2 linked regions of the Coturnix japonica genome follow. The protein of the gene in region 1 interacts with the protein of each later gene in a pairwise test. Links are inferred from orthologs where the notes say so. Each region holds a gene or a part of one and is shown on either strand. Other genes may lie near its edges.

The links.
Region 2: the proteins of very-long-chain enoyl-CoA reductase-like (region 1) and HACD2 interact in binary tests that used the Homo sapiens proteins (3 or more experiments, as listed by UniProt). The link is inferred for Coturnix japonica from reciprocal best matches to the Homo sapiens genes TECR and HACD2.

The regions. Positions count from the first base shown.
Region 1 is NC_029523.1:11,907,295-11,915,591, reverse strand, and holds part of very-long-chain enoyl-CoA reductase-like, read left to right. Parts: intron 1-3,927; coding exon 3,928-3,978; intron 3,979-4,409; coding exon 4,410-4,461; intron 4,462-4,845; coding exon 4,846-4,890; intron 4,891-6,170; coding exon 6,171-6,274; intron 6,275-8,257; coding exon 8,258-8,297. UniProt on the Homo sapiens protein: Involved in both the production of very long-chain fatty acids for sphingolipid synthesis and the degradation of the sphingosine moiety in sphingolipids through the sphingosine 1-phosphate metabolic pathway.
Region 2 is NC_029522.1:19,845,017-19,853,313, forward strand, and holds part of HACD2 (very-long-chain (3R)-3-hydroxyacyl-CoA dehydratase 2), read left to right. Parts: intron 1-3,443; coding exon 3,444-3,565; intron 3,566-4,184; coding exon 4,185-4,363; intron 4,364-6,335; coding exon 6,336-6,418; 3' UTR 6,419-8,297. UniProt on the Homo sapiens protein: Catalyzes the third of the very long-chain fatty acids (VLCFA) elongation four-step cycle (condensation, reduction, dehydration, and reduction).

The sequences.
Region 1 (8,297 bases):
ATTCCTTGGTGGCCCAGATTCTATGAGAGGAGTTGGTAGTAGCAGAAGACAGTCTATAGCAGATCTTCACTTCTTGGAAGTGTGTATAACCATTAGATATAAAGCATGAAGTTTCATTCAGAAGTAATTTAAATGCTGTGCTTTGTGCTGACCTTGGAATGAAGATGCTACTGGATGAAGGTCCTTAAGGATTGTCATGCAAACATGCCTAGCTAACAAGTCTGAAGCAGGTGGAAGAAATGAAAAGATACTGAGTTTCAGCACACTCCAGATGATGGTTCTCATGGGCATATGTAGGAGCAGAATTTTGGAGGCTGAGGAGTAAAACACCTGGTGTGTGTTTTGTGAACCTGTGCATGTGAGACATCTGTTTTATGAAAGAGAAATTTAACTGTCCAAGTATCACTGCATCTCCTTTTTAAAACTAGGTGAAATAGTAATAATATGCTAGTTTCATGAAATATCAGCTCTTCAGAGAGGTTGTGCTTTATGTAGTTGGACTACTGACAGAATAATAGCTTTCCATAGATAACAATGAAATAGTTCAGGGATAATCAATCCATTTTGCATAGCTTTCTCTTGGGCTGCTGAGTTCCTAGGCTATAAAACAAGCAGTTTGAGGTTGTTGTATTTTTTTTTTTTTTTCTAATGTAAAACTAAACCAATATAACATCTGCTTATGTTGGTGTTCAGAAAATCACTCTAAGCTGGAGTTTGAAGTTTACTGAAACTGCTGAGTACAAATGACTGCAAATAAAGCTTCCAACAAACAGAAACATGATGTGTCAGTATTTCCTCAAAGTTACCACATCACTTTTGAATATCTGTTGATGCTTAAGCATCAAACAGGCTTGAAGCTGGGAGAATTTGATTTATTGTATTTTTATAATCCTATTAAAGAGACACCATCTGAAAAAAAATAAAAATCAAACAGTTTGCTCAACCATTTCCCCTCTATGGATAAACTTTCTAAGCCTCTGAATATAAGTCTAACGCTTGAAAGTAGTTTTCTTGGCTTCCATCATCAGTTGATTACTTTGATCTTGACCCGTTCTAAACAATATTTCAGATTTTTTCTCTGCCCTTTAAGACACTATCAATATTTGCTCCATATTCATGAGAACAAATTTGCCTTCTAAACATTGAAGGTCTGTCCTTGTAGTCACTTCCAGAAGTGTTTTAACTAACAGGTATCTTGCACAAATCTGCCTATTGATTAAATTCTATTCAAAATAGTTTTAGAGAAGTGGTAAGTTAAAATGCCTTCAAAAATTCACCAAATACGTGATCTGCAAGTCACACCACACTAGTGCAAATGGGCTGTCTGTGTCCTGTTCTTCTAAACGCTTAAGGATGCTCCAAAATTAAAATTCTCTGAGCCATAAATTTATGTTTAAAAGGGCTGGTACACATCAGTTAGTGTTCCAAGAACAGATTGCTGGGTATCTAAAGACTGTTGCCAACCAATACATTAACTGACTTGGTGCTGTGCCCGAAGGCTGGAAACACTGTGTTCAGTGCTATCTAGGTTCATGTGGCTGGCCATTATGTTCAGAAAAGATAACATTTCATACTTTGCATCAGTTTTTTCTGTCTGTTATGCAGGGAACAGCTGACTACTGTGAGGACATTTTGTCACAGATAAGAGGCATGATGGTTAAAGGAAATGGTTACCTTTGCTTTCACTCTGTTGTCATACAAATTTATGCAGGCTGCAATGGAATCTACAGCTGTATTCTTGTGTTCCTCTTTCTGAAAGAGGAAAACATGTATGATATTTCCTTAGATCCTAAAAGTAACTGATAGTAACCAAAATATTTCAAGTTCAGGAAGGACTGTCCAAAAATTCCTCATCATTGAATAACAGAGGTTGCAAAGGACTTCTGGAAGTTGTGTAGGCCAGCTGTTGCTCAAAGCAGATGCAACTAGATCTAACTGCACTGGGTCTTGTCCAGCCCAGTTTTAAACACGTCCAAAGACAGAGATTCTACATTGCCTCTAGGCTACTTGGTCAAATATTGGGGCATTTTCTTTGTATCTGACTGGATTTTCCCACAATGCAGCTGTTGTCCATTGCTTCTCATCACTGACACTGCACCTTCAAATAAGTTTGGATGCATCATAGAGGCTCCTATTATGTTTTTGAAGAAATGGGCTGATACAGGAAGGTATGCCAGTTTGGCACTCCAAAGAGACATCTTGCCATCAAACCAAATAGGGATACAGAAGATCCTGGATGATTTGTTTTATTTTTTTCCATACTGATTCCAGTGGTTCACAGAAATAGCAGAATTTCTGCCCAAATGCCCCCAAGAAGAACACAGAGCAAAAGAAAATGTCTTGTAATTTTCTGTCTGACCTTGTGCAACATGAGAGTAAACAAAACAGAAGAGCAGAAAGATGGCCAGACTGCTCTGTAATTGGCCTGGAGAGGACTTCTCTAACATGGACACTGAAAGTCATAGAATAAAACTGCATGGGGAGAGAGATTCCAATCCAATATGCACATGCTGTCCGTGGGTATGAAATGAGGAGGAGGCTTCTAAACTAATCATTGCTGTAGTTAGTAGGGCTGCCCAATGGTGTTCTTTGATACAAAAACTGAGATACACCAAAGGTTTCAATAAACCTTGTAGCATTTGAGCAATAAAACTCAGCATTACAAGGGACAAAAACTGATCTAAAACCCCCAAGGTCCCTGTTTGGTGGGCTGTGAGAGTCAGAATGCTGTCAGTACTGCAGAGTAACACAATTCACTTCATTTGCTTTCCCACTGAGATCTCCCACAGAGGCAGTAACACTGATAATTTACATTGTTTCAAATATACATTAAAAAAACCACAACAACAAAGAGAGAAATACATAACACCCCAATAACATGGCATAGATTCTTCATGAATTGCAAAGGAGGAAAAGTGCTTACCTCCCTCAGCACCTCCTTTAGGGCTTATAGTGCACAGGTGGAAAATACTACCGCATTAGTATCCCTTGTGGGGATCAGATCTGATACTTCTGTCTGGAGCTGAAGTGCTTCATTGCTACACTAACAGAGAGAGAACAATTTGGGACAAGTAAAAGGAGGAAATAAGATACTCAGAGTGATCTCTTCAAAGAAACTGTTAGAAAGATTTTGGACTGTGACTCCGACTTTTAGTCAGGAATCATGTTTAAAGTCTACTGTTAATCTGTCCTCTTGGTCAGTTAATACCAAATGTAATTAATGGTAGACATTTATTGTAAAAATAAACAAAACCAAAGAACAAAACCCAAACTGGGGAATGACGGTCACAGTCATTTAGTGTGACGGATAAGCTTTTATTCTTCAATCTTAGCTGTACCACAGAGTTCCATTACTGGGTGTTTGATGAAAACAAATGGAATTAAAACACAACCAGTGTATTTTAAGAGCCTGTTGCAATGGAACTTTGAATCATCTCAGAACCTTCCTGCTCAGCTGTTGATTAAAATTCACATATTCACAGTATTTGCTTCCATGCATATATGTGTGCATTCTCAAATGGTCTTTCTAGATTTACAAATCAGAACAGTTCTGAAGACAAACTGATTTCTTAATGATTTGCGTGAAACTTCTCTTTCCTTCATTTGTTCCTTTTGTGTTAGCTTAAGATAACATGAATATGCATATGAATATGCATATTTTGGTCAGTTAATTAGCTACTGCTGCTTCTGAATTTATCCAGGAAGACAATTTATTTGGCAAGAGTGTTACTTTTGTTCACAAATTGAGTTCTTTGAGAACCTCGCTGTGATTAAAACTGTTCTTGAGCACATCAGAATTTTTTCTAACACATAGAACGGAGAAAAATGGTGTCTCATTCTGAATAGTGATTGTGAATTTGATCGTCAACTAAAAGTTTAGATATTATGCAGTCAGTAGTTAATGATTATTGTTTTGTATCCTATCAGGTGGAAATCCTTGACTGGAAGACAAAGGAACAATTATGCTTCCTAGATAAGGTAAAATAAAAATCTGCCCAAAACTTTAGGTGACTATTTAAAAATTGCTAGCTCTTTTTAAAGCAAAGTTAATGTTTGTGAAAAGTTTTCTGATAGCCCTTCTTTGGTATTAAGGAGACAATAACTATTCATGCTTCATATGCTTCATACCTCTTCACAAAGGAGCTCTTGTGCAAAGAACACAATTTCACTTGCTTCTGTAAGATGGTGCCAGTTGTCCCTTTCTCATTTAGAAGCCCTCAAACTCTCACTGCTGCTGTAGTAACACTTTGAGTACTGCCACAGTAGCTGCCTCTGAAACAGATGCCACAAATCAGGTCCTCCGCTTTTCCTGTAAGAAGTGTTTTGAATTGTTCATACCAATCCTAATAGCTGTCTTCATAAATATGCATCTTATATACATATATGTATATATGTTCTTTTTTGCCTAGGTGGAACCAAATGCTACAATTAGGGAGATAAGATCAATGTTCCATAAATTATGTGAGTATAACTTTTGCAATAGTTTGTGTTACATCAGAATATCCAGTATGGAAACAGGAGAAAATTATATAAGATGAAACATGATGCATACACACAGTAGGGTTTGGAATGAGATGATCTTTACAGTCTCTTCCAACCCAAGCCATTCTATGATTTCATGATAATGTGAGGTAACTTGCACATGAACGTGATCACAGTGAGATTTCAGTACTAGCCTGATACACCTTTGTATTTTTCCTGCTGCACAGTTTGTTGTGGATGTTCATATTAAATTAATATTCCTAAGTATCTTCAAATAAATCTCACTGTATTGTGTGTCATTCATTGTAACTGGACAATCTAAAACAAACATTGTATATCACACAGTTCTTCATGGTTTTACAGATCCTCAGTGGTATCCAGCAAGACAGTCAATAAAGCTTGATCCAAGTAAGTACCTGTAAAGACTAGAGTCATAAAGCTCTAAGCAGTGGTCTCACATGGAAGGTGGACTTTGCATAGGTATTAGCTGTTAAAAATGAGTTTCCAGCTATGTTACTTAGCACTGTAAAGGCTGAAAAGGCTCCAAAAAAAAAAATCTAATTCCTTTGAAGTATTGAAAAGAGGTTCATCCATGTGTTTGGCACTTGGTAATTAACTCAGGAGTCTGCATATTGTTCCAATGCATTTTCTAACTACTGATCACCTTTGCTTTAAAGACACGCAGCACAGATTTTAGACAATAATTTCCCTTATCTGCAATGGAATGATTCCCATAGAGACTCTAAACTGGGAGCACTAAGGAGATATTAATTCATATAATCCTCTGCTCTCAGGCAGGAATTAAAATTCCTTTGAGGTAAGCAAATACAAAACATATTGCCACGAATTTGCTGACAAATCTTGATGCCAGGTGGTTGACTGGATTAATGTAGCTGCAGGTATCACTGCTGGAAGCCTTGTAGTACATGGCTTGGGTGCACAAAAGATAGTCTAATTGACAAATTACATTAAATCATCTTAGCGTTCAGTACAAAATGTATCACTTTGTTCTTCTGCTTCTATTAAGCTTAATTTGATTTATATATTCCCTTTAAAATTATGCTAGTGATAATTAGTTCATCATTTAGAATCTGTCCGTGGAAAACAGGTATATAAGTGCCTTATTTCCTTTTTCAAAGATCTACCTTTTCAGATTCCTCCAAATCCAGACATTAAAAAACTTGAGCTCCAGCTTAGTTCCTGTGGAATCATCTCTTGGCTGGTTGTTTGGAAAAAAAAACAAACAACCAAAATCAGGTAGTAAAAACCTCTGAAGGAAGGCCTTCCCTTTACAGCTTATCTCATCTTTGTGTCTATTGATGAGCAATGAGAAGCAGGCAAGAGAGAGATATGGTGAAGCTGACTAGGTCAGTGAACTATACTAAAGGGTAGTGTCCCATCAGCAAATTCTGCTGTAGCAGTGATGAAGCAGGTCTACCAGACTAGGCAGACAGACAGGACTGGGAATTCTTCTGTCTCGGTGTGAATAGAAGACCTGGATCTATATGTTATCCCAGGGGGAATTCAAAATTAAGCGTAAACTTCCTTAGAATTTTTTAAACTTAGATTGCAATAAACTTATGTCAGGTCAAAGAATCTCAGAGACTTTTAAAAGTACAAATGGAGCTAGTTTGCTAGTGTAGTTGATTTGAATTTCACTGAGATGTAATTACCTCTTTCCTTCTCAGAAGGAAAGTCCCTGAGGAATGAGGAAATCCTGCAGCACCTCCCTGTTGGCACAACTGCTACTTTATACTTTAAAGATTTAGGGCCACAGATAGGATGGACTACGGTGAGCTATGCTTCAAATCTGAGCCAATTTGATGGCTGTTTCTCCATAATTAATCTTTACATCACTTTTTGTCTCACTCCAATATTTCTGCATGATGCCTGCTCTGACAGTGGATGCAGGCAATGAACCCTCATTTGCTTCAGTTCATTTTATCCAGGGAAAGCAGCAAGAAAACATTTTGAATGTCTAGTTCCCTAGGAGAGCAGCAGAGGAAAACTTGCTACAGGTTAGTCTGGCCATGCTGAACTAAGGTACAGGTTCTCAGATATGTTTACATGTCTAATGCAAAATCACGGGGAACTACATATCTAAATTCCTGTGCATCTCTCCTGGCAGAGATCAGGATTAAACTCCCAAGTTTGTCCTGTGAAGAGGCATCTGAAAAACTTACCTGTCAATGACTCAGCTGACCTCAGTGGGAAAATTCATGAAAGTAAAATTAGTTGTTCATGGCTGTGTCCCAGGATGCTAATGCCAGGCTAATGACAGCTGATCATTCTGTAATCCATGAAGACCTCATGTTTACTCTCTCAACTTAAAGACAAGACCCATCACAACACCCTCAGCAGGTGACCCTACATTCATGTTTATACGAGGTGATCAGTGACTCTTGAAGGTCCTTCAGAAAGTCCATAGTGCACATATTAGAATGACTTCTAATGAAACAGCATAGCATGAAGGAAAAAGGTACCCAGTAACTTAAAGACACGTTTACTATTTCTTACCTATGAAATATTAATAAAATATTGTCTCATTGATAAATAGATTCATAGGAGGCAAAAAAAAAAAAATTAAAAAATAATAAAAATCTACAAGTCTGAATCTTTAGATCAGTTCTTTGGCTGCTATGCTGATAAGTAAGGCAGCTGATGCACAAACCACTAATCAGTAAGACGAGCAAAATGAATGACAGCATAGATTCCAAGACAAACATACTTGAATATACACCAAAATATCACACACCAGACTTCTTCCAATCCATTATTCTTCTTTTACCTTTTGCTCTCCCTCTCCTTCAATCTACTTCATTCAAATGTAAGCCAAGAAATGCTTTGATAGAAATCAAATCAAAAAGGCAATCAAATCCTACCTTTGACACAGAAAATGCTGATTCTGTTACAGAAGTTGATACAAAAAGTTGTTTAACTTTTCTCCCAGTCAGAATAACTAAACACAGGAGAAATGTGACATATTTTGTGCTTTTTTGAACAACCAGCTTTCCTTTTTTTCTCTAAAAAAAACCAAAATGAGGTGCTGACGTAACTTCCTCAGTCAGAAAAGTGGAAAATTCAACTGTTAATACTTAGCCCAAAGTCATTCTCAATATAAAGTGATGCTCATGAGAAATACACTCCCATCTGAAATGAAATTAAGTTAGATAATAGCTTATTTAGTTTCCTCTAGTTGTTACTTTGTTCTTGGTGGTAGTTGTTTTATTTTTCCAAATGAAGGATTATTTGAGCACAGAATGAATTGTTTTCTGGAATATCTGATGTGCTAACTGCTCATACGCATGGGGTCATCTGAACACTTGCAAATTGTGTTTCTATTTTAAATGAAATTCATTAATGAAAAATAAAGCACATATATTTCAAGATAAATTCTTCATTTCATTTTAACCAAGAATAAGTAAAAAAAATAGGTTTTGAGGGCAAGAGGAGGGTGAGAGCTGCATAAGTGTAACCTGCATGCTCATTTATCATGATCTCTGGGCTACCATGAATACCTTTACATTCCCATGCTGTGTCAGCTGCATTAGCAATGGCTGTTTGTATGCAGTTGAGGCAAATGCATTGCAAAACATTTATGTGCATGTCTACTGATTTCATAGCCTAAGCCCAATCCCGCTATTCTCCCTGTGCATCTCTAAATGCCATTCTGGGTCAGTGGAAGTATTTGTCCCACTGCATTACTTATTACAAAGAAACCAAAGCAGAACTACCATCTAATTCAGCTGTCTAATTATTTTCTCTCTTTTTGCAGGTATTTTTGATAGAATATACAGGTCCATTGTTCATCTATT
Region 2 (8,297 bases), on another chromosome or scaffold:
TTCAGTTCCAAGTTGTCTTTTTGAGTTGATGTGAACAGTAAGATCATCTGGTGCCATCACAGAAGGCCTTTGTGGAGTTCAGTGTTGCAGCTGATTCTGACAGCTAATTAGAAAAGGTGCTAGCTGTGATTTAAAGATAGTGTTACAAAGGTAGCATTGTATACACTTAGAGGAACCTTTCTAGAACACAATCAAAAAACACAGTGTGAGAAAGACATGTACAGCTCATTGAGCACATAATTAAGACAACAACATCTGCAAACTTGCCATCTTCCATCAGCAGTAAAGGATACTTACACTTAAGATTGAAGAGTGTTCTAATTAAGAATCACACACTGGGAAGTTCTGAATAGCAAATTGGTTGGTGAGTGTAGCTGACAGACCTAATTTATCACTGCTTTACATCTGTGTAAAGTTTGAGTAATTCTGTACAACACAAATGTCTGTCAGGCCCTTTATACCTCCTGTATATACCTCCTTTATACCTGCAGTGTTTTTTAACTGATATTCCACAAAAGCCAAGCTGTGGACTGGAGAAAGATGCGTTTCAGCATCTCTGTTGCGCAGTGCTGCTGGTTTTTACCTTTCTGTTTTATGGTCTATTTAGCTGCAATGATCACTAAGCTATTTGTCAGACTGTTACTCTCAATTCTGTAGGTCTCTCCATATTTCTACGTTCATGATACCTTATACCTTTCAAATCTTGTCTGTAACTTTTTGTACGTAAGAAGAGCAGTAAAAGCATCTTAGACCTTATTTTGTTGATTCCCAATTTGGAATCTCAATTTTGCACCTTAAAAGGCTATAAATTCTCTTGTATTTCAAGACTTTTTGTTATCTGTAGTCATGAAGGCAAGCAGGAATATGTGCAAGACCCCCTGGATGATAAATGGAAACACATGCCAAAAATTATGCCCGTGGTATAATTCACCCTAATTAAGGCTGCTGGACAAATAAGGTGTATACAAAGTATAAAACATGCTTTGACTTTTTCTAACACCACTTCCAAAGACTGGAATGAAAAGATAGAGGAAGAAAAATTGGGTTCTGAGGGCAGTACTGGGATTTGTGGTTTAAAAAGGATCTGCTGTTTATTGGCTGTATTCTCCTCCGTACACAGAGGTTGGAAGAGGAATGATACAAATGCAGCATTAGCAGTGCCTCAATGAATAAGACTCTCGAGGGACTGTTTTGTAAATCAGTTCCCAGGAGTTTGATAATGTACATCTCAAACATCTTTATCTAAAGTATTGTGACATTGTCAGTCCTCAAAGAAAAGCTCTAATAGTGACAGATTTTTGACAGATCCATTAGTGTGTAAGAAATGTACTTTTTAATTATGAGCTGTGGAATTTGGTTAAAATGTGATGCTAAAGTTCACGGTAGTCTTTTGCTCCCCGTTATAAAAGAGTGTTTGAAAAGTTCATAGATCACTCTTGCACAAAACTACCGGTCTCCAACGTTCCTCCTTCTTTAAGCAGGGACACAAATTGTAAGACACAGTCTAAGTGACCCTTTTGTTGTTGATGGTGTGAGCAGTTTCAGTAGTTTCCAATCAGGGTTCCAACACTAAGGCTGATAGAAAAGACTACACTTGAGAAAGTGGTGTTACCAGTCCTGCAATCATCTGGCAGTTACAGTTTCAGTTCTCTGTCCTCCTATGTGCATCGGTCACTGCTGGCCTAACAGTTTCTTGTTCTTGGTTCTTTGGGTGCTCCTTCAAGCTACAAATTTCCACTTGTTGGTTCTATTGATTTCCAAAGTTAGGAAAAGAAACGGAGTTTCGAAGGACAGGTTGAAGTCTGGGATGCATAAGTTTAGCTTGCTCACTAAGCTGCTAGTCCTGAGCTGACCGGAAGATGCAGCTCTGGAGTGGTTGTGAGGGTTGATGCTCCTTGGGAACAGCATCATCTGTGAAGTGATGCTGACTTCCAGGCTGAGAACTAAGTCTTCTTTATAAAGCAGACCACAAGCACAGTTAAGATCCTTTTCTAGTTACTTAAGCAGTGTGTAAAATAAATGTGGTTTCTTCTCTGAAAATCTTCAAATGGGTTTTGGATATTGCTCTTTTATGGCCTTGTTAAGGTAGACTAATATATAAGGAAATTTTCAGTTTCAAGTGAAAAAGGATGAGGTGTGTTTTGTGCAAAATGTCACGAGGGTGACTTTAATTGTTGTACAAAGCAGAATATAGAATAACAGTAATTGTACTTCACAGGATTCCCAACATTTTTATACAATTCTTGGATTCTGTGGTCTCTGTAACAAAGGGGTTTTTTAATGAGTAATCCTTGTGAACTTCTTTATACACAAGCATATGATCAGTCCCTTCCTATTAAAAGGTTTCTGCTTGCCCGTATATTTTCTTGTTCCTTTGTTTGTACATGTACTCTGCCCAAGATGAATAGGGTGTACCACCCACACCTACCGACTTCCTTTTCCCTTTTTTCAAGAGTTGGAGGAAAAAAGTAAATGCAGCTCCTTGTAGTTGAGCTCTTTTGTTCCCACGGTCTACAGAATTTGGGCTGAAGGTGCTCAGACAGCTGAGAATTCACATCGTGCTTCTGTTGGGTGGGGAGGTTGCTGCATAAGAAATTGTGTTCTCTCTCTGGAGTTTATTGTGCAGGTATGTGGCCCTGTATAACTCCTCATATCTGCTACCCATCTGAAACTCATAATTATGCTCCCAAATCTAATGGTTCATTTTTAAATACACACTTTTGAAGGTTAATCTTCAAAACATGAGGGGAGTAGAAACTGTTTTTGTAATGTGCATTTTCAGTTCAGGCTCTAAGGAGGGTAAAGCAGTGAAACAAAGTGGTGCCTTGAGCATTAGCAGTAACATTTAGAGGAACAATGTTCCATGCAGTAAGTGGGGAGAAGGAGCAGGGAAGGATGCAGCAGGTAGTTGTCAAGCTTATCTGAAGTGAGGCAGCCTGAGCTAATGGTGCTTTGCTGCTCTCAACCTGTGACCTACTGATTGCTGCCTTGTTGCTGCTCAGAATTAAGAGCCAGTTACTCACTTGAAGGGAGTGAGGAAAACTGTTTCCCTTTTCCTCAAGAAATAGCACTTGGTAGGATCAGAGTGTAAAATCTAAACCAGATGTTGAATGCTAGTATCCTGTGCTCTTCCTGTGCGAGAAAGCAATCACAGGACTGAAGCAGAACTTGGTACTGTATAGGAGTGGAAAGGACAAGTTACAAGCTTTTCTCAGTATCTGATCAGCAGAGCTATTCTTAAGCCGACTAGAAAAATATGGAGCATGACAAGAGATTTTTTTGCTGTCATTACTAATGTGGCTTTTAAGCTTTTTCCTAGAGTCTGTTTTCTAAACTGATGCAGTAAAGCAGCCCATGGGAATGACTTACTTCAGGGTGTTTAAGTCTGGTGAATAATTAGTAACACGTGTGTTCATATTTAACCTTTTGCTTCTTCCTTGCAGGTACAAACTGAAGACAGTGTCCTGTTGTTTGTAGTGGCCTGGACAATCACAGAGATAATCCGTTACTCTTTTTACACCTTTAGCTTGTTAAACCATCTCCCTTATCTCATTAAATGGGCCAGGTAGGTGGCAATTAAAAATAATAATAATAATAATGGCCTTGAAGCACTGTTTTGATGGAGGTATTTCTCCTGTAATGTAGTTGCAGCAGAGCAAGTTATGTTCTGTCTCAGTGTAATTGTGCTGTTAGTGAAAGTGACTTCCTAGATTCCTTCCAAAGATTTCTGGATTTGAAATGTATTAAATGTTAGCTGAAAGTACTTTATTAGAACTCAGTACTGTTTATGAAGTGATTATGGCAAGTAAACTAATGTCTACCAATAACCATTGAATCTGAGGGTTGTACCTGAAACAGTTGAGCTCGCTAATTAATACTGACTGGCCCTATTTTAATGATATGTTCTCAACTAAGGAGTTTGATGTCCTCGAGTACAGAGTTTGGACATCGAAGTAATGAAGTGTGGGGGTGCGGGAATTGTTTTAAAGATACCATTCAGATTCTCAAAGATGGTCCTTTTAATAATTCAGAACTGGTTGTTGATGTCAATATTTTGTCTTGCATTGATGTTCGTATACTGCCGTGCTCAAATCAAAGTTAAGGGTCTAGAAGTTGAACATCCATAGCTGTACTTATGTACTTTGTCACAACTTTTAATCCTTTTCTTAAATGTTTTGTTCTAGGTATACTTTGTTTATAATATTGTACCCAATGGGAGTCACTGGGGAATTACTCACAATATATGCTGCACTACCCTACGTCAGGCAGTCTGGCTTGTATTCCATTAGTTTACCTAATAAGTACAACTTTTCTTTTGACTATTACACATTCCTGATCCTGGTTATGATCTCTTACATTCCACGTAAGTACAAGTTTGTTTGTTCTTTAATATTAAAAGCAGTGTCGGGAAAAGCTAACAATTGTGGGATTAGCATCTACACAACTCATTTTACAAAATTCATTGTGAAGATTATTTAAAGAAAGAAGTCAGAGTTAAAACTGCAGGGGTTGCTTCCTAGCAATGATTATAATATAGTAATATGTGTTGTTTTTTTTTTCTCTTACATTTGATACATAAAATAACCGTAGTGCTCAGCAAACATTGACATCTTCATTTTGTTCCCACTTACAGACTTCAGGAGAGCAAGATTTAAAGAAGTTTCTTAAAATGTGGTTCAGGGATGCATTTCTGTTGAATTAACTTGAGTTGATACTGTCTTTGGTGAATGTTTTTACAGGTGAAGGTTTGGCTTTGCTGCTTAGAAACAGTGATTAAGAGCGTGTAGGTCTTCAGCCAATTTAGATTTGCAGATGGAGGTTTAATGTGCAAAATAATGCAGTGGCACTGATGCTCACTATCTCTGTAGCTGTGTTTTTATGAACGTTGTTACTTATGCTGAGTGACAAATGGTATTCTAAGGTTTTAATTTCAGTACTGTGGCTGTCTATAAGCGCTTCTTCTTTCTGTGAACTATTTTGGACATCAAAATTTGTGACTTCTTCCTGCTGCTCCTAAGAATTCTTTTTATACACATGTAGCTATCCTCCAGAAACACTGATATTACTAACTCCAAGGAGCCAGAGCAATATCTTTTGTTCCTCCCCTAATAAACACAGGTATTAATTACTTCTTATGAGATTGCTTGCTCCCAACTGACAAACCACATGAGAGAGAAGTACATTGAACTCAAATAATTTCAGCCCTGTTTCTCCATTAAAATTGCAGTCTTTCAGATATTTTGTAACTCATTATCCTTTGCTGGTTGTGTAACTTAAATTCAGCCTTTTTAAAAATTATTATTATTTATTATTGTGATTTGGTATCTTGCTTCTGAGAACTGGCTGTGTGGACTTGAGAAATCATAGGTACCTTTTCACAGGCGGATATTCCTGTATTGTTCCAGAGATTCAAGAAAAGCAGCAATCATTGCAGTTATTCATAAAAGCAAGCTATGCAGGAAGCTTGTCTTCTGAACCCGCTGCAGGTCTTAGGAATTTTGGGAAGGTTAACATCATGAAGAAAGCAAGTTTTAAATCCACTGTTAAAATTTAAGATTAATATTCTTGATAGTTGCATCTTACCATTGATCTGGCTTAAAGTATCAAAGTTAGTTCTTGGCTGTCAAATAAACATCTTGCCAGATATCATTCAATTCTTTGTGTATAATAGATACCAAATATTTAAACTTCAAAAAGAAACCACATGGCTCTGTATACTTCTGTGTTTCCGGACAGATGTATTCACTACTTAACACGGGCGAGTGTAACTGTTGGTATTGACCTTATTTTATCTTCACGTTGCTCACAAAGATGGAAGCTTTTGCTGTTTTGCATCTCCTGTTTCACTCTTCTGAAAACATACTGTGTAATGTAACCTTAGAAATAGGAGGAAAGAAGCTTTGGAGGGAGGATAGGGATGCAATGGCCACCAGTTTTTTTTAAATACTGAAAAAGAGACACTGGAATCATAAGATATGAAACAAACCTGTGAATTTCGTTCTTTCTGGTGACTTCTGTTTCTCATGGTACTTTTTTTTCCTCCCCAAAACGCAGTTTATTGTCTGCCTGCAGGTCAAGAAACTTTGTCGTTTCTCTTGTATGTGCAAAGTTAATTATGAAATAATGTATTTTGCCTTGAATTAAAAATGGCATCGTTCTAACAAAAATTAAGCAGTACCTGAAGATTAAGGGCAATATTGCTTGTTTTTAGCCAGAAGATGATTTGAGCAGAGTGGAAAAGCAGATTTTCTTTTAACAGAATCAGTGACCTTGAGTATATGAGTGTGTTTTACACCAACGACAGAAGCCTGACTTCTTCTTTTGTCTGTTTTCAGTCTTTCCCCAGCTGTATTTTCACATGCTACATCAGAGGCGAAAGGTGCTTTCCCACACTGAAGAACACAAGAAGCCGGAGTAATTTCAATTCTTTCAGAACTTTTCAAACATTGAAATGCTGCAGATTTTCAATACCAAGCATATTTATAATGAATACACCAAAATAAAACGTGTCAAAGGTAAAAGACCAATAATTAGCAAGAATAACCAATAAATCTGAGTTCACTGAAATTCCACAATGTAAAACATCCAAATAATTTTCAGCTTGCAGTGCTTCGGAAAACTTCTAAACTTTCCCTGGCTTGGCAGGTAGCCTTTTACTTTTCATTAACTGTTGTGCTAAATGGTTTTTGTTTTTGTTACTAAATGCCTGAAGGTTACAGTATGAATGATGAAATTGTACTCACTAAATGCCTGAATTGGGATTGTGTCACTGATACCTCTCTTTTTTTCCAAGTGCTTGACTGCATGCCAGAAACTGTATGTATTGCTGTGGAAGCAAACAATATGCCCTGGAATGCTTTAGGATTTTGTCAGAGACTCCAGTGGAGAACGTAATCCGGGCAGTGTTTGAATTTAGAAGGGTAGGTTGTGTATTTAAAAGGTGATGGAAACAAGAACAGAAAAACAATTATGGGAAGTGAGGGGAATGTGATTCATTAGGATTTTAAACAGTAGGGTGTCTGACCAGAGAGCATTCTTTGAAGGTCTTGTTTAAGCTGATTACTCAAATGTTGATGTTAATTCAGAGGCTATAATGCTCATCTGAAACATTAAAACTCGTTTAAAGTACTGCAGCCCTGGATGCTTTTTTTAAATATAGAAGAAATAAAAAATACTAACTGTAATATTTTCTTGTGATATCTGTAATTAATTTAAAGAATGTAAGGAGGCGAGTCACCCCAAAATAGGTGCAGCTTCTCCATTTTTGACTTTAAATGATCATCTCTAATCATTGTCCACTATTTCAGTGGTACTCATCTTTTAGTGTTAAGAACTATTTGGTCTACTGTGGAATCACCTGAGGACGTGTTCTTCAACATGACTTGTCTTAATTGATTAATGTATATCACTTTAGAACATCCAAACATGCAAGTCTAGGCACTCAGCTTCTGAAACGTTGTCAAAAACCCTAAATAACGTTTTTGAAAGCAGATTATCTCATGCATTACTTGCTGCTTTTACAGATTGGACTACCTTTCCCTTATCTGCTCTTTTGAAACAGCAGAAGAGCATGGAAAGGTAGATTTTCCAAGGTGCTTGCTCAGGGTTCTCAGGCTAAACCTTCCCTTGGGAAGGTGAAGCAGAAAATAAAAGGACTGAGCCATGTGATGAAGCAGAATCTACTACTGCTGTATGAGCAGTGGCCCAGAATATGAGCAAAAATGTTAAGTGGGGAGGGGGCAATAAATAGAAGGCACAAAGGGACTGGGAAGATGAATAGACATCTAATCAAAGGCAAAAGGAAATGTGGCTAATGGTCATTGCTGTGTCACATATTGAAAATTAAATAGTGCTGTCCTTGCCCCTTTGGAGCTACTAGACAACAAGGCAAGGGTGTCTGTGACTTCCTTCTTGTAACATCATGATTTACTGCATAAATAAGGTGTGAATGTTTTATGCCCACCAGCACCTACCTCTCCCTGGGCACAATCCATATCTGTGTCCCAATTACTTGTGTGTGACACCTTGCAGTTCTCCCTGAACGTAGGGCAGTAAGTACTAAGTGCAATGCCTCTTTGTTCTAGTGCTGGTGCAGAGCCGCATTTACAAATACTCTCTGTTTTCGCATTTGTCAGAGCTATATTAAGTTAAAAAACAAACAAACACAAAATCCTGCAATTTTAGTCATTTCTTTTGGTTCCTTCAAAATGTCTGATTGGACATTCCTAGCATTCAGTAACGTGTAACAACTTTCTTGTTCAAAATACTGACTATTAAACCTATTGTTCAAAACCTGA